2 linked regions of the Canis lupus familiaris genome follow. The protein of the gene in region 2 binds, or shares a complex with, the protein of the main gene of each other region. Links are inferred from orthologs where the notes say so. Each region holds a gene or a part of one and is shown on either strand. Other genes may lie near its edges.

Evidence for each region.
Region 1: the proteins of RHOA (region 2) and ARHGEF12 are in contact, whole or in part, in a crystal structure (PDB 1X86), measured with the Homo sapiens proteins. The link is inferred for Canis lupus familiaris from reciprocal best matches to the Homo sapiens genes RHOA and ARHGEF12. Residues at the interface, in NP_001300870.1 of Homo sapiens: Arg5, Lys7, Thr19, Lys27, Val33, Tyr34, Pro36, Thr37, Val38, Phe39, Glu40, Asn41, Val43, Asp45, Glu54, Trp58, Asp59, Ala61, Gly62, Gln63, Tyr66, Asp67, Arg68, Leu69, Leu72, Ser73, Asp76, Glu97; in NP_056128.1 of Homo sapiens: Pro766, Asn768, Gln770, Glu790, Val791, Glu794, Thr798, Ala801, Cys888, Gln891, Pro892, Lys899, Arg922, Arg923, Leu924, Gln925, Lys927, Asp928, Pro931, Thr932, Met934, Gln935, Thr938, Lys939, Leu942, Leu943, Asn946, Arg968, Leu971, Asn972.

What each region holds. Positions count from the first base shown.
Region 1 is NC_049226.1:13,546,153-13,553,773, reverse strand, and holds part of ARHGEF12 (rho guanine nucleotide exchange factor 12), read left to right. Parts: intron 1-2,002; coding exon 2,003-2,470; intron 2,471-3,290; coding exon 3,291-3,607; intron 3,608-4,664; coding exon 4,665-4,734; intron 4,735-5,570; coding exon 5,571-5,581; 3' UTR 5,582-7,621. UniProt on the Homo sapiens protein: May play a role in the regulation of RhoA GTPase by guanine nucleotide-binding alpha-12 (GNA12) and alpha-13 (GNA13). Acts as guanine nucleotide exchange factor (GEF) for RhoA GTPase and may act as GTPase-activating protein (GAP) for GNA12 and GNA13.
Region 2 is NC_049241.1:40,227,651-40,235,915, reverse strand, and holds the start of RHOA (transforming protein RhoA), read right to left. Parts: upstream 4,366-8,265; 5' UTR 4,197-4,365; intron 141-4,196; 5' UTR 64-140; intron 1-63. Other genes in the region: TCTA (T-cell leukemia translocation-altered gene protein), read left to right, coding at 4,794-5,016, 5,292-5,394, 6,684-6,723. UniProt on the Homo sapiens protein: Small GTPase which cycles between an active GTP-bound and an inactive GDP-bound state.

The DNA of each region.
Region 1 (7,621 bases), on a different chromosome or scaffold from region 2:
ACCTAGGGGGGCTCAGTCAGTCAAGCATCCAACTCTTGATTTTGGCTCAGGTCGTCATCTCAGGGTCATGAGATCGAGCCCCACATCGGGCCTACACTGGACATAGAACCTGCTTAAGATTCTCTCTCTTTCTCTCTCTCTCTCTCTCTTCCCCCCCCCCCCCACTCTGACCCATCCTCTCCCTCCTCCTCCCCTTCTTCTCTTTCCCTCCATGACACACACACCCGCATACTCACAAGATGGGTGGCCCTTGCCCTTGGCTACCCCCTCCCCTTCCCTCTCCAGCTGGCTGAAAATCACAAATGGGAGCCTGTCCCATCTCACAGGTGTACTGGCAGTGGGGAAAGGCTGAGAAGGGTTTCTCTAGCTGCAGAGAACCATTTGAAGTTTTTAAGCTAGGGTGTGACCAGTAAGAACAGATGGCTCTGGCTGAGAGGGTAGAAGGGTTGGAGTGAGAGGAGGCCAGGAAATCATGGCTAGGGTGAAGCCGCTGTAGTAGCCTGGGCTTGAGGCTAAAACGGTTTGGACTAGAACAGTATCAGAGGAATAAAAATAAAGTGGGGACAAATTGAACACCAATAAAAAATAAAGTTATTATTATAAATAAATAAATAAAGTGGGGAGTCAAGAAATACTTCAAACGATTGGCTTGGTTGGTATCAGGGCTAAGAAAAGGGCAGTATTTAGATAATTTCAGTGTTCTTGTCAGAAATCAGAGTCAGGAAGGACCACCACTGGTCACTGCTGCACTCTTCCCCCGCCTTTTTCTTTGTTTGCCAGAGACTATGGGATCAATTTAAAAAGTGGCAGGCTATTTAAGAGGAAGTAACAAGCAGGAAGTTGGAATCTTAAGACTAGAGCTTTGGCAAGAGGGTAGGGAAAGGATGGATTTGAGTGTCAGAGCCGTAGGAACGCATAGCATCTCTCAGGGAGTATTGGTAGAACCAAAGAACAGAGGGCTAATGTCCAGACCTGTGTGGAGACTGTTTGTCAAAAGAAACAGGAGATAGAAATTAAGCCAGAGTTAAAAGTACAGAATCGGTCACGTTCTCTAAGATCTAATTTATTGTCAATTCTCCTGAATGAGCAGTCAGAATGATTTCTCAGAGTTTGACACTGTCGCAGTGACTCTGTCATTGGCTAAGTGGCCTCACAGCATACACTTGCCCATTTAAAATTAAGTCGCTTCTCTTTTTAACAGCCCAAGGAAGTTTCTCATCTGTGAGGTCATTTTTAAAAACTAAAAAACATTTTCTTCTTCAGAAGTATGCATGCTTTCAAGTCATTGAAAGTAAATTTTGTTTTCATTTGACAGATAGAGAGACAGTATAAGCAGGGGGAGTGACAGGCAGAGGGAGAGGGAGAAGCAGGCTACCTGCTTAGCAGGGGACTCGATCTCAGGACCTGAGATCATGACCTGAGCTGAAGGCAGACGTTTAGCCACGGAGCCACCCAGGAGCCCCTGAAAGTCGATCTTACTACAGGGCAGCTTTATTTTCTTCACCACTTAAGGATTCCATGGATTATTATAAATGATAAAATAAATGTTCTGTGTGTCTAATAAGTTGGAAAAAATAACGCCTGTGTTATATACTGTCTGCTTCTGGAAAAAGCAAACTTTTTCAGGGCTTCTTTTCTAGCATAACACAGCTTTTTAACATCCTTTTAAGAAGTTCCTTAAGGGTATCATTCAGGTTACGTGGAGGAAAAAAAAAAAAGAGAGGTAGGCCTGGTATTGGTTATTTAGGAGTGCCTCCTCATTCAGAGGGCTTACATCTTTCCAAGTCTCGTTTAATATTAAATCTGCTCTCGATAGCGCTTTATTTCAGTTTTCAATGCAAAACCAAGAAATGATTGTACGAAATTAATATTTCGACTTTATGTTACTAAAAGGTACTTACTTTTAGAAATAATGGTTAATTCCTCAAACTAATTTAGTCCTGGCAGTCTGCGGGTGCTGTTGTGAATGTGATTTTTTCCTCTCCCTTCCTAAATCTTCCAGTGGGCTTGCTGAAGCAGTTGCTCGTCCAACAGCTGGGTTTGACCGAGAAGAGTGCTCAGGAAGACTGGCCACATTTCCCGAGATACAGGACGGCGTCTTCAGGGGTGCAGACAGACAGTGGAACCCAGAACTCTGAAAACAGTAAGGCCTATCCTCCTGGTGAAGGACAGATGCCCTTTAGAACTGGAACTGGTGACATTTCAACTTGTTACAGTCCACGGACTTCCACTGAATCTTCTGCTCCACGGGATTCAGTGGTCCTGGCATTCCAAGAGAGCCAGGCAAGTAACATTTTAGTAATGGACCACATGATTATGACCCCAGAGATGCCTCCTGCAGAGCCAGAAGGGAGTCTTGATGAGAGTGGAGAGCACTTTTTTGATGCCCGTGAAGCACATAGTGATGATAATCCATCAGAAGGTGATGGAGCAGTTAAGAAGGAAGAGGATGTTAATTTGCGCATCTCAGGCAAGTTTCTTTCACAGTCAAACTTTGATTTTGATTGTTATTAGCTAAGTGATGTGCTGAGATGGATGTTGTTTGGGTACCCACACGTCATCCTCTGTGTGTATGTGTATGTGTAGGGTTTATTCTTTGACGCAGTAAATAATTACTGAATCTGCTCAGTGCCAGACCCCATCCTGAGTGCTGGGAAATACGGCATCGAGTAAAACACAGAAAAAAATCCATTGTCCTTGTGAAGCTTAAGTACTGGTGAGGAAACAGTCATGGTAAATAAGTAAACAGATGTCAGAGGAATTAGGAGGGCACATAAGTCAGACCCAGGGGCAGACAGGGTGATCAGGGAAGAGGGCCTCAGTGAGGTAGCATGAGAGCAAGAGCCACCTGGGGAGTGAGGGAAGAAGCTGTGTGGTGTGCGGGAGCAGGGGGGTCCAGCAGAGAACCAGGGCACCCAGGCTGCCAGCAGGTGCTTGGTAGTGACGGCATGCAGGGGTGAGGGGGGAAGATGGTGGGAGGTGAGGCATGAGAGCTCTGTGGCCGGGGAAGTGGTGGCAGGATCATACGGGGACTTGGTAGTTTCCAGCTTGTAACTTTTAAGATGCTCACTAATGTGAAATTATTCGGAAATATGAAAGTTTGCTAAGTTTAGCTTTTACCTGAAGTGAGAAGACTCTGCTGTACTTAAAACTGAACCTGGGAAGTGGGGAATTGATGGCTTTCCTCCATCTTTAATGGCTTTTAAGGTTGTCAGCATATCACCTCATCTCTCTTTTTTGATGTGAGGATGGCAGCGTGAAGCTCATCAAGCTGTTGTGTCTGTCAACAGGAAACTATTTGATTCTTGATGGCTATGAAGCGGTGCAGGAGAGCTCCACGGACGAGGAGGTTGCTTCCTCGCTTCCCCCGCCGCCCACGGCAGGCATCCCCGCCATGGACTGTGCCCGCCCACAGCAGCACTCTCCCCAGCATGCCCATTCCGATGGGGCGGCTTCACCATTCACCCCAGAATTCCTGGTCCAGCAGCGCTGGGGAGCTATGGAGGATTCCTGTTTTGAGATCCAGAGCCCCCCCTCTTGTGCAGACTCACAAAGCCAGATCATGGAGTACATTCGTAAGATCGAGGCTGACCTAGAACACCTAAAGGTACCTCAGACCTCAGCGTCCTCGTGGCTTGGGTAAAGAAACAGAGAGGAGGGAGGTAGAGGATAGTCAAAATGTTGATGCCGGTGAGCTTGTTCAGGTTCTAGATTTGCTGTTCTCCTTGACCATTACCCATAAGTAGTCTTGGATAGAAAGCTGAGAACAGTATGGTTCAACTGGTTGCAGATCACAAGAACAGAAACACCGTAGGGCTGTAGACTGCCTGCTTGTGTGGGTTTCTCCGTGTAAGAACCCAAGTATATTTGGGATGATTGGCTGGCCTCTGTGAGAAAACGTGAACAGCAAGCCAGTGGCATGGGCAGGGCTCGTGTCTCCTCTAGAAAATGCTTTCACTTATGAATTATCTATGAATTGTTAGGGCGATACAGGTAGTTTCCCAGACACTCTAACACACAGAAATTGGCTCCAGGGGCCCCTGTGATCTGGAGACCGGCGCACGAAAGGATTTTTGTGAATTGGAGTTGAAGTTGTCACTGTACAGGCCACTATTTCAAAGCTGACTTATGTGGTGATTTCTGAGAAAAGGACTTAAAGTTTGTCATCGGTAGACACAGCTGCCAGCACCTAAACATTTTTTTCATGACTTGGTTTAGTTAGAGGCTTAGGGACAACATTAAAAGTGTTCTTAGAAGCCTTTGAGCTGAAGAATGGTCTCCCTTAGTTTTTCATTTAGCTTTATGTGATAGGTTTTCCCTTCTTCATGTGATTATAAGGAGTGTCATCCAAGGGCAGACGAGGTATCTAGAAGGCCATCGTGGGCCAGCTGGCTCTAATGCAGCTCCTGTCCCCCGTGGGGCCGTCTTCAGGGTGCCTCCGGGGGTGGGGGAATCATCTTTAACCTGAAGAAGTTATAGGTTACTCAAGGGAGAGACAGGTAAAAGGAATGCGGTTCACTTTTCTTCCTCACTAACAAAATCTTTAACAACATTCATGTTGAAATCTAGAAGCATGTACTGGCAATATGAAAAGGTTTCTTCCCTGTTTTCATAAAGGAAAATTATGATGTTCAAATGAGAACCCCGTGGGTTTTATCTTACAGAAGGTGGAAGAGAGTTACAGCATTCTTTGCCAAAGGCTGGCTGGATCAGCCCTCACAGACAAGCACTCAGGTATGTGAAAATCGTGGATTCCAGACTCTAGAATCATTCTGCCAACAGTACGTCCAACAGAATGATTTATTATTCTTTAAAGTGGAAACCTTCTGAGATTCCATTTCTTTCCTGTCTTTAAAAAACCACTTGTTTCCAAACATCATATATCAAGCAGAGGCTGTTGTTTGCTGACTCTGCTCTTCCTTTTCTAAGAGAAGCTGTGGTTGTCAGTTCTTGTGCCGTCCTCCCCGGCCCCCTGGCTCCCCACTCCTCCCCTCTACCCACCCCTCTCCTCTACCCACCCCAGGCTTTACTTCACCTTTGCAAAAGCAGAAAACAGGGCAGGGGTAAGCCTGATAAATCCTAGATCCCTGAGACCCTGCCAGTGCTGCCGAGGGAGGCTCTGGGCCCGCCAGGCCTTGCTGGACGTGGGTATCTGTCCTAATAGCGAGAGCGCCATCTCCCCGTGATCGCAAATGGATCTGTGCTCAGTGCAGCAATTTGTACTCTGTTGTTGGCTCACATGGTTTTGAATGAGTGAATGAGGCCTTTCTTTTTTTTTTTTTTTTTTCAAGATTTTATTTATTTACTCACGAGAGACACAGAGAGAGGCAGAGACATAGGCAGAGGGAGAGGCAAGCTTCCTACAGGGAGCCCAATGTGGAACTCGATCCCAGGACCCCGGGATCACGACCTGAGCCAAAGGCAGACGCTCAACCACTGAGCCACCCAGGCGCCCCTTGAATGAGGCCTTTCTAATCCAGAAAGACACACACAACAAGCCCCACAGGTGCCTAGGTATTCTCTATTAGTCTGTTCTTAATTTGATCTCTGCCTATCATTATTCTTCCCAGATAAGAGTTAGAACCACGTGTCCTGGAGGTGACTGAAGGTTGTTGGACTCTGAGCACCGGCCTTGTATCACCCATCCTGGCTGCAGCGTGGACGCAGAGAGAGTGTGTGACGGAGGGTCTGCCTGTGAACCCCCCACCCCAGGGGTCGCCGCGTGCCTGGGCGCCCAGAGCGGGACTAGTTCTTCCAAGTCCGGCAGCTGCACTAGCCTGTCAGTGAGGGAGCCTTGACTCTCTCGCTCTGCGCTCCTCACCATCGGAAATTCATTTTGATTCAGAACAAAAACCAAATGTATAGAGCTTTGGGTGTAGGATATGAAATTTTACTTAGACTTAAGAAGAAGAGAAAAATCAGATGTATTTATTTGACTTCATTCCGTATTTGAAAGCACATTTTAATTTTTATTTTGCCATGTTTTGTTTTAATTGAGTAGTGAGAGTTTTAGCCCTTTGTATTTAGGACACCCAAGGGTCAGTTGCCCCTGAAGCCAAGAGTTCCGGATGAGGTATTGGGAGGCTGGGTAGAGAGGTGGAGAGAGGGTAAGCCGGGGGAGGGAGGAGCATCCAGCCTTCACTGAAGTCTGTCCCGTGGCCCCTGCTGTCCAGTAGGCGTCTTCGTTGAGGAGCACCTCCTTGAAGGCACAGCATGCCCGTGGTTCCTGTGCACAGAGGACTCGAGCTGTGTGCTGCCCAGGTGGGCAGAGTTAGGTGGGCTTCCTCCCACCTGAGGCAAGCACCTCTTCTCTGTAGCTGGGCTCCACCTGCAATTAACAGAAATCCTCAATGTACTAAATAGCAGGCACTTGAAAATGGGTGTGTTTTCTTCTTTTGTCTTTTTTTCTATTGAGGGGAGGGACTTGGGAGGGGGAGGAAAGCAAATTTTATTTTCTTGGCTATAAATTTGTTATTCTTGGTATTGTTTCATTTTTATGATGATACATTAGACTTCGGCACTTGTGGAAAATTATCCCTGCAGATTGAGCAGGAAGGAAGAAAACAAACAAAGATGCTTCAACTGGTGGCAGGGGTGGGGGCTGCTGAGGAGGGGTGGGTTGGGAGCGGGGGCAAGAGTCTAGGAAGGTTATCTAACGGAATCACTACTGAGTTGAACCATGGCTCTCATTAGCCACGGGTACTGCTGAATAGAAGGCCAGTAAAATTTTAGTACCTGGAGGTTTAACTCGAATATTAATTTTGCACTGATGGTGCCAAAGGGCTCTTTGAGTTAAAAGAAGAGCCACGCGTGGAGCGGAGAGAGAGGTGGTGGAGAAGGCAGGGCTGCTCAAACCAGCTCCAGAAGCACTTCCTCTGACTTCGCTGCCGGAGCTTTCTCCACACTGGTGCGTGACCTTACAAATTGCAGACCAGAACATACACTGGAAACTGTGGGCAAGGGGTTGCTGGCTGGCTGCTCTAGAGTGACTTGTAGAATGGGCAGCACCCTGCAGGGGACAGATGTTTCAGAATCGTAACTGGAGAACTCCGTCAGTTACGTTGGCTTTCTGTGGTTTTCCTTGTGCATCGGGTATACACGTCTTGGAGTATTTTTGCCAACTAAAACGAAATCATTGGTCAAATCTTCCAGTTCTGTTAATACGCAACGCGTGTTCCTCCACTGCTCACACCTTTCAGTAGTGCCCTCTGAACCCTGGGGGTAATCGGGATGTGACTTTCCTCTTCCCCGGCACTCTCATCGCAAGTAATGATGATTCCCTACTCCTCCTGTAAACACCACTACGACTTGACAAGCTCATCTCTGTCCACATTCCTATTTCCTGCCTTTTCAAGTCTGACCTGTGTTTTTAAGTAGACCAACTTGGACCATTCGTTGGACCTCATCTATAAATTAGACTGATATTTTGAGTTGCAGGCCCAGCATGAACGAAATCAGAATTGGGTGTAAACATTTTAGAAGCAGAAGCAGAAGCTAGTAAGACAAGCTTGGGACTTGACTTTCTGTATCTCGTAAGAGAAGCAGGTAGAAACCGAATGGTTAGGTGGGGCTGGAAAGGGGGTAGTCACTCCCAACTCACAGGGTGATACGCCTGTGGCCC
Region 2 (8,265 bases):
CATTAATATATAATCATGTCTTCCATGGGAAAAAGGGAGTAAAAAAAGTTTCTATTTACATACCTTACAAATGTGCTGCAAGACCCACGGGCTGTGTGGCAGAAGTTCTACAAGTGCCTTTAACTTCTCAGATGTAGGCACTGTAAAAATATAAATATATCAGGAATTATGTCTATTCATTTTACAAGGAACAACACAAAACATAGGATGTAAACAGGCTTGCCCAAAGTTCCAAGACATAATTTAGAATCCAAGAGAGAGAAAAAGTGTAGAATTTAATTTCTGACTAATATACCACCAAATTTATCACATTTATACAAGCTTAGCTTCCTTCAGTTAATATTCACAACCAATGATATCTTATGAATATTTTCTAAATATTTCCCTTTTAAAAGCAAATGAATCCTATGTAAATTAATTTTCCAAAATTATAAAACTTTTCAAACATACAGCTAAATTAAAGGAATCTTACAATGTACACCTGTAACCTACCACCTAGACTACCACAAACATTTGAATAACTTGCTTTATTTAATTATACATTCTTATTAATATAGGCATTACAGAGAAATTACAAACTCAGAAAATCAAAAATCAGGGTGAAGTCATTAGGTCAAGGAAAATAGTATTAGGAAATGCTTATAATGTTTTTGTCAGAAATGATCAATATTAGTTTACTATTTAAAGTCAGAATGAGGGACACCTGGGTGGCTCAGTGGTTAAGCGTCTGCCTTCTGCCCAGGGTGTGATCCTGGAGTCCCGGGATCGAGTTCCACATTGGGTTCCCTGTATGGAGCCTGCTTCTCTCTCTGCCTATGTCTCTGTCTCTCTCTCTCGAATAAATAAAAATCTTTGGAGAAAAAAAAAAAGTCAGAATGAACTCAGATCTACCCCTACTCTTGGTGAGTGATTCTAGTTATTTAACATCAGATCAAATTATTCTCCTGCTAAAAAACATCTAATGATTTCTCATCTCAGAATAATCCCAAAGAACTTCCCATATCCTAAAGGCCCGACATGATCTGGTTCCCACCCACCTCTCTAATTTCATTTTACATTCCACTTCTACCTTTACTCCACTCCAAATATTTTGGTCACTTATGTTCTCCTCTTTACCTTCACCTGAATAGTGAGACACTATTATAAACATTCTTTAACATATTTACTTTACCCACTCTCTTCATTAAAAACAAAACAAGCTCATTTTGGGACAAACTGCAAACCGGCTGCAATATAATTGAGTGTATCTCGTATTTTGACCACTTTAACTATAAAATATTATTCACAGTCCTCTAGAGGAAGCACCAATAAATTCAGACCAACACCCAGAATGAGCAGCTTCGACGGCTGATTTTTCTGTCACATGACTACCATAATTATGAGTATACAGGGCCTTCACATAATACTATAGCACCACAGATCAAAAATGAGTCATTTGAAATAGAAACACTTGAAATAGGAATTTTACAGTAATTATTAACTTCAAACTGTCTTGGAAATTTTAATTTATTAATCTCACAAGTACTTAACAGTGAGCATATCCCCAAAGAGCACAGTATAGTAAGACACATTAACACACATGTTTAAAATTTAGTTACATTAATATGTAGGTGCAAACAAAATTCCTCTAGCCAGGGACATGAAAGACTAAAAACTAAGTGCTACAGGAAGGTAAAATAACTTTTAAGTACCTTTTAAAGTACAAATATATGTGATTAAAATCCAGTGATTATGTACCATTTATCATTATCACTAGCAGCCAAATACAATTAAACCCAAAGTGTTGTCTAGAGAAGCTCAGCAAGCCCAAATTCGTTCTCTTAGAAGCTGAAGTATCAGTCTGTCTTCTGAGAGTTAACATAAATCTCTCAGCTCTAGAACTAAAACAACCCAAAGTAGCAACTCCTCCTCCTGTCACAGCTTGAATTCCACCTCAATATCTACCTGTTTTCACTCTCCTCTAAGAACAACCAGGACAAGAGAATACGATAAAACTACTGCCACACATACACAGAACTATTTACTTAATATGTGCAGTTTCTCACCATCCCACCTCAAATTAATAGGCAAAAGAGCCCTCAGTCACATTATAACATCTTGGTCTGACCTAATTATGTTGGGCTTTGGAGCAGGGGAGTCTGGGCCTCACATTGGAAGAAGTTGTTCCCTCAAGAAGACCCAAACACCCCTGGGTGGTACACTCAGTCGAGCATCAGACTCTTGGTTTCAGCTCAGATCATGATCTCCAGGTTGTGAGATTCGGCTCAAAGTTGGCCTCCGAGCTCAGGGAGGAGTCAGCTAGGGTTTCTCTCTCTTCCTCAAAACCTCCCCATGCTCGTGCTCTCTCTCAAATGGTTAAATAAATCTCTAAAAAAAACAAACAAACAAACAAGCGAACAAAACCCCCAAAACACCTAAAGCTAAAACTAGGCCAAGCAGGGACTCTGTATATTCATTTATGTATTTCAATCAACTGCTGTAGGACCATCCAGTTCCGGGGAGGAGAGCGCAGTGAAAGCTAAAGAACTGAGTTTGTTTAGAAATGAATTTTTCAGGTTCTCAAAACATATATAAAATCAGTAATATGTAAAAGAAGAAAATACTGGAAATAAGTCCTGAATTTTACTTAACTCTAAGCAAGCTGTTTCAGAGTACAAGAATACCTCAGAGTTCTGGCCTGCACCTGACCAGAAAAATGACCTTAGGAAATTTATGTAAGTCTCTGAGACTCAGTTTCCTCATCTGCAAATAGGGTTAGACCGTAAGTCCTGAAGATACCTTTGGGTCTAAAATTCTAGATCTACGAAAAAGTCAGTGGATTTCTATTCTCTTCTTCCCTCCAGTACAAATTTTTTATGAGAAAAGAAGCCATAACTCTAAGCCTAGACTCTGACTCAAAGTGAGTTTTCTTCTATTTTGTTAGCTTCCCAAGGGCCACCACTCATCTACAAAAGTAGATGGAACTACCAAAAAAACAATTTATCAAAAGATCTTTAAGTTTTCCTTCACAATTAAGAATTAGTCTTGTACTTTCAGGCCAAACAATGTCACGCCCAACGCTCATACCAGTATCTCTACCAATTTAGCCATGTCTAAAGTGACAATCCTGCAATGGTACATATATGTACCATTTTCAACCATTTAGTGGTTGAAAAATTAAATGACTGAAAAATTCTCACCACAAATAACATTTTAAAGAATTTTAAGTATTTTTCCCCTTCAGATCTGGCAGGGAGGGCTATAAAATGCATACCTGAATAAAAAAACATTTACTTCAAAGACAAACACCAAAAGAAGGAAACATATCACCAATATTGGTAAAAACTTTAAATCAGGACCATTAAAAAAACACAAGTGGAAAACACTGTGATAAAAAAGGATACCAATTTTCCACCATAAACTACTGCACATTGTCTTGACCAAATCGATTTGAGTGCAAACAGTGCTATTTAATAAAGACAGCTTGTAACTGGGTTCAATCGGTAACTAAAGACAGATGTTTAGGGGATTCCAATCAAGGTAATAACTTAGACTAAGCAAAGTTGCAAATTAATACTCTATTTCAATGCAATAGAGTTTAAATCATGAAAAAGTGTTTTCAACTGGAAAATTCCCTTCTCAATACCCAAGAATCCTAACCCGTAAGATTTCAACACTACTTTACTTACACAATCTCCGAAACTACTGCATTTAAAAAGAAAATCTACCCAAAACATATCTGGACTTCACACCGTATAAAACGGTGATTCATGTTTCATATTCAATGCAAAAGCCAAGATGGAGTTGTAAAGAGTTTCTTTCCCATTTCAACTCCCGACAGCCACGCGCGCTTCGCAGGGACCCGCTGCACCGCGCGGTCGCCGGGCCCAGCTCGAAGCCCCCGCCCTGCCCCGCACGGCCGTGAGAGAGGAAGAGCCAGGGACCGCGGGCGGGCGTCTTGGGCTCCACCAGGCCTGGCCGGGCGGGGGAAGGGGCGCGGGAGGCCGCGGGGCGCGCTTCCGGGGACTGCGCGGGCGGGGCCGTCGCTTTGGGGAGCGGGGCCCCGGCCAGAAGGCTGGGGCCGGGGCCCAGGGGCAGCCGGTTGAGAGCAGCAGGTGGGGCGCGGCCGCGGCGGGGCGGCGGGCGGGCGGGAGGCCGGAAGAGCGGCGGGCGGGCCCGGGGCGCCGCGGCGCCAGGAGAGAACCCTCTCGGCTCACCTCAGGCGACGACTCGCAGTCCGGCCTCTCTGCGCCGAGTGCGCCTGTCCGCGAGTCGGAAGCTCGGAGACTGGGGCGGGTGGCTGAGAAGACCACGGCGAACTAACGAGAGAACCGACGGAGGACGGCGGGCGGCGGGCGGGGAGCGCGAGCGAGGGCGGTCGGCGGCGGGAGGGCGGGGAGCGACGTGCGCGCCCCCGTGTGCCAGCGGGCTCGAGCCGGCCCCAGCCGCGGCCCCGCGCACGCGCGCACACTTACAGCTCAGCCACGATTGCTCAGGAGCGCGTCCACGCCCTAATAGCAGGGCGCTTAACCAATCACTGCAGCCGCGTGGGGCATCACGGGAACTCCGGGGCTATAAAAGACCTGGTTGCTATTTTATGCTCCTCGTCTCACTCATCGTTTAAGTAAGCAGGGTGGGGCTAGGTGCGCGTGCGCGGTTTTAGTACTCCTCCCCAAACTGCCAACTCTTCGCGCAAGCGAAGTAGACTCGCCTTGCCTGGTTTACGCGTGCGCATTAACGGGCCTGGCCCGGAAGACCAGACGCCTGCGCAGTGGGTGCTATAGTGACAGTCCCGGGTGGGGCATGGGCCAGTCATGGCGGAGCCTTGGTCTGGGCAGTCCTTGCAGTCTCTGCCGACCTTGGTGCTGGGCACACTGGGCACCCTGGGCAGCGAGTTCCTGCGGGAGTGGGAGGCGCAGGACATGCGCGTTACCCTCTTCAAGCTGCTGCTACTGTGGTTGGTGATAAGTCTCCTGGGCATCCAGCTGGCGTGGGGGTTCTACGGGAGCACGGTAACAGGGCTGTATCACCGCCCAGGTGAGGCTCCCCATCCCCACCGGACTGCATCATTGGGCTCCCCAGAACTCCCTAGACTACCACTGGTCTCCTAAGAACCTCATCACAACTTTATGCTCTACCCTGACCCATGCCAACATACCATTTCATGCCAGAAATCCCGGACCACCCATCACATTTTAACCGCTCCCTTGAACCTCCATCAGACAATACCACTAGTCCCTTTAAGGCCCCCACAAGACTCCATCAAACAACATCACTGGCCTTTAACTTGATCTGGGCTGATACCTGCTCAGATTCCCACCCCAAGCCTGCTGCAGCTCTGGATGTGTTCCTGCCCCCAGGTCTGGGCGGCCAGAACGGATCCACACCTGATGGCTCCACGCATTTCACTTCGTGGTAAGTAAATCTGTGCCCATGTCAACCCCATGCTTGGCAGGCAGAAGACACATCTATGCTGGGAACAGGGACAGGGCTAGGAAGTTCTCAGGGCAGGAGTCCACCAGTTTAGTGGCCTTTGCAGCAAGCTCAAAGGCTTGCAAGTGGAGCTCAGGCTTCGAATGATACCAATTTAACAGCCCATTGATAGGCTATTCAGCAACCTGTGGGGCTGGTGGTGCTACTGTCAAAATCTCAGAGATAAAGTAGCAGGTCTGTTGAGTTCAACTCTACTGCAAGCCCCTCAATTTAGAAAGGCAGGAGGCTTTGTCCTTTTTTTTTTTTTTAAGGTTTTATTTATTCATGAGAGACACAGGCAGAGGGAGAAGCAGGCTCCATGCAGGGAGCCTGACATGGGACTTGATCCTGGGTGTCTAGGATCACACCCTGGGCTGAAGGCGGCGCTAAACCGCTGAGCCACCCGGGCTGCCCAGCCTTTGTCCTTATTGCATTGACTGGCCTCATCAGGGTCAGCCGCCTCATCTGTAAAACATCAACTCCCTAATCAAGAGCATTCATTCAACCAATTTCTGAGCTCCTACCATGACAGGGGCCACACTAGGTCCAGAGAAAAGGAACCCAGGCCCTTTACAGGGGGAGCCCAAGATTTAAAAAGGAGGACAGCAAAAAAATAAAAAATAATAAAAGGAAAGGGCAGTAGAGCAGGGGGTGAGGGCAGTCAGTTTTCTCCCAAAACAGACAGCTAAGCCAAGGGCAAAGGCTAGGGAGTGCTTAAGTGTACCAGGCAGAGAGAATGGATAGAACAAGACCCAGGGGAAGAACAAGGGTATCACATTGGAAGGATAGACAAGGCTGTGACACTATAGCTCAAACGTGAAGGCATGGAGGGACCAGGAAACCTGACCTTAAATCTCAGGAAGCTATTAAAGGACTCAGCAAGGCTATGGTCTGATCTAACTTGCCTTTATAACTGCCGCTTTATGGCAAGAAGATGAAGGGGTCCAGTAGAGAAGGCAAGAGGCCAGTTAGGAGGCTGCCTGCCACTGCCCAGAACCTGGGCAACTGGGAAAAGGTAGGCACTCCATAAGGTGAGGAACCAGGAGGAATAACATGTCAGCAGGAGAAAGGTGGGAGACCAAGTGGGCTGTGGGAACTCAGTAGAGAGGTCTAGATTGTAGTGTGGCCTTTCTGAGTCCACCTCAGCCCTTAAAAGGGCTAGAGAGAACCAGTTTCAGGGACTGTTAAGCTGCCTGTAGAATAATCCTTCTCTTCTCTCCATCACTTTTTAGGGAAACAGCAAATGAACCTCTCAAAACTCACAGAGAATAAGGGAAGGCAGCAGAGGGATCTCCAGGGACATCACCGGGTCTGCTGGTTCCCACACTGGGTTCTGCTGCTGCCCAGACCTGAGACGACGGCAGGGAGGTCAGGGTTGGGGGCAGGGAATACCCCAGTGCTTGCAGGCCTGGGCCTCCACCACCCTTGGCCTTGTCTCCAGCAGTCCCAGGCATTGGACCAGTAAAGTTTGCCTCTACCCTGACCTGAGTGCCTTAAGGAGAGAAGGCATGCTCCTCCTCTCAGGGGTCAGCTCAGGAGAAGCCTCTGGGTTGGGGAGACCAACTGTCCATTTTCTTCCTTGGCTTTTTCCTGTCCCTCTTCTCATCCGCCTGGGATATGACCCCATAGAAACTTGTCCTGAGAGGAAACTTGAGGTTGACCAGCTCTGGGATTTGTAAAGGAAGCCTGTTTTCCCCTAAGCTCTGGGTTTCTTGAATGTTTGCTTCGTTGGCAGGAAGCCAGGGAATTCTGGACTGGACATGGCCTTATACTTTGTGGTTACTTAGTTGGCCATTCAAGAGTCAGGCGGGGGAGCTGGCACCATCCAGACACAGATGTACCCAACACCCTCCTCCCTGGTCCATCCAAAGCTTTCCAGGTGTGAATCAGGCTGTAGAAATGGTCTTTTACTGAATATCAATTCATACTCCTCTCAATTCTTATGGGAAACTGGGTGCCTAAAAGAGGCTGAGCCCCAGGGAGTGACCTTCCACCCCCAACTGTTTTAAGTACCCATGAGATTGTACCCTGCCCCCTCACAGGGAGACACTAAGCAGTAATGTGGAGTGGCCCTGCCCCACCATGTCCTGCAGCTTCATCGGTTCCCATCTTGACCAGGAACCACATAAGCTTCATCCTAAGAGGCACAGGCTCAGCAACTCTCTACTAGCACCATCTCAGCCCCCAAGAACTCTCAACAGGGAAGAGCCATAGGCCGCCATTTAGACAGTGGGCCAAGGGAGCTTCCAAATGTGTGGATGGCACATGCCAGTTTCTGAAAACAGCATAACCCTAGAATTGTCTCCTTTCCTGAAGGCTGTATTCCTGCTTCTGCTGGGCCACCCCCTGAAGGCTGTATTCCTGCTTCTGCTGGGCCACCCCCTACCCCTGTCACTGCTTCTCTAGTAGAAGTCACATTTGTATCTGTCAGCCTTTGGATGGGCCACCTTGACAGCAGAAGTGCACTGGAAGTAGGACTACACTGAACTGATGTATGTGTACCTATTCCAGAGCTATCTTCTGGCTGATAGGATGGCGATTTTGCACCCCAGCCCTATCCATTGACACCACCACACAGAATCAGGGTCTCACATTTCACCCCAGGTTCAACTGAGGATGTGGTTTATTAAACATGGAAGCGCATCAGCTGTGTGATTATTCAGACAGGACAAGGGTGTGCATGCACAGGGGGAACATTAAGGGGTACTGCCCCTCAGTACCCAGAATATAATAACTTGCAGAGGTGGAGAGGTGAGGCCAGCTCCCTAGAGGAGCAGCAATGGATGCCCCAATACAGAGGGGCACTATCCTCGT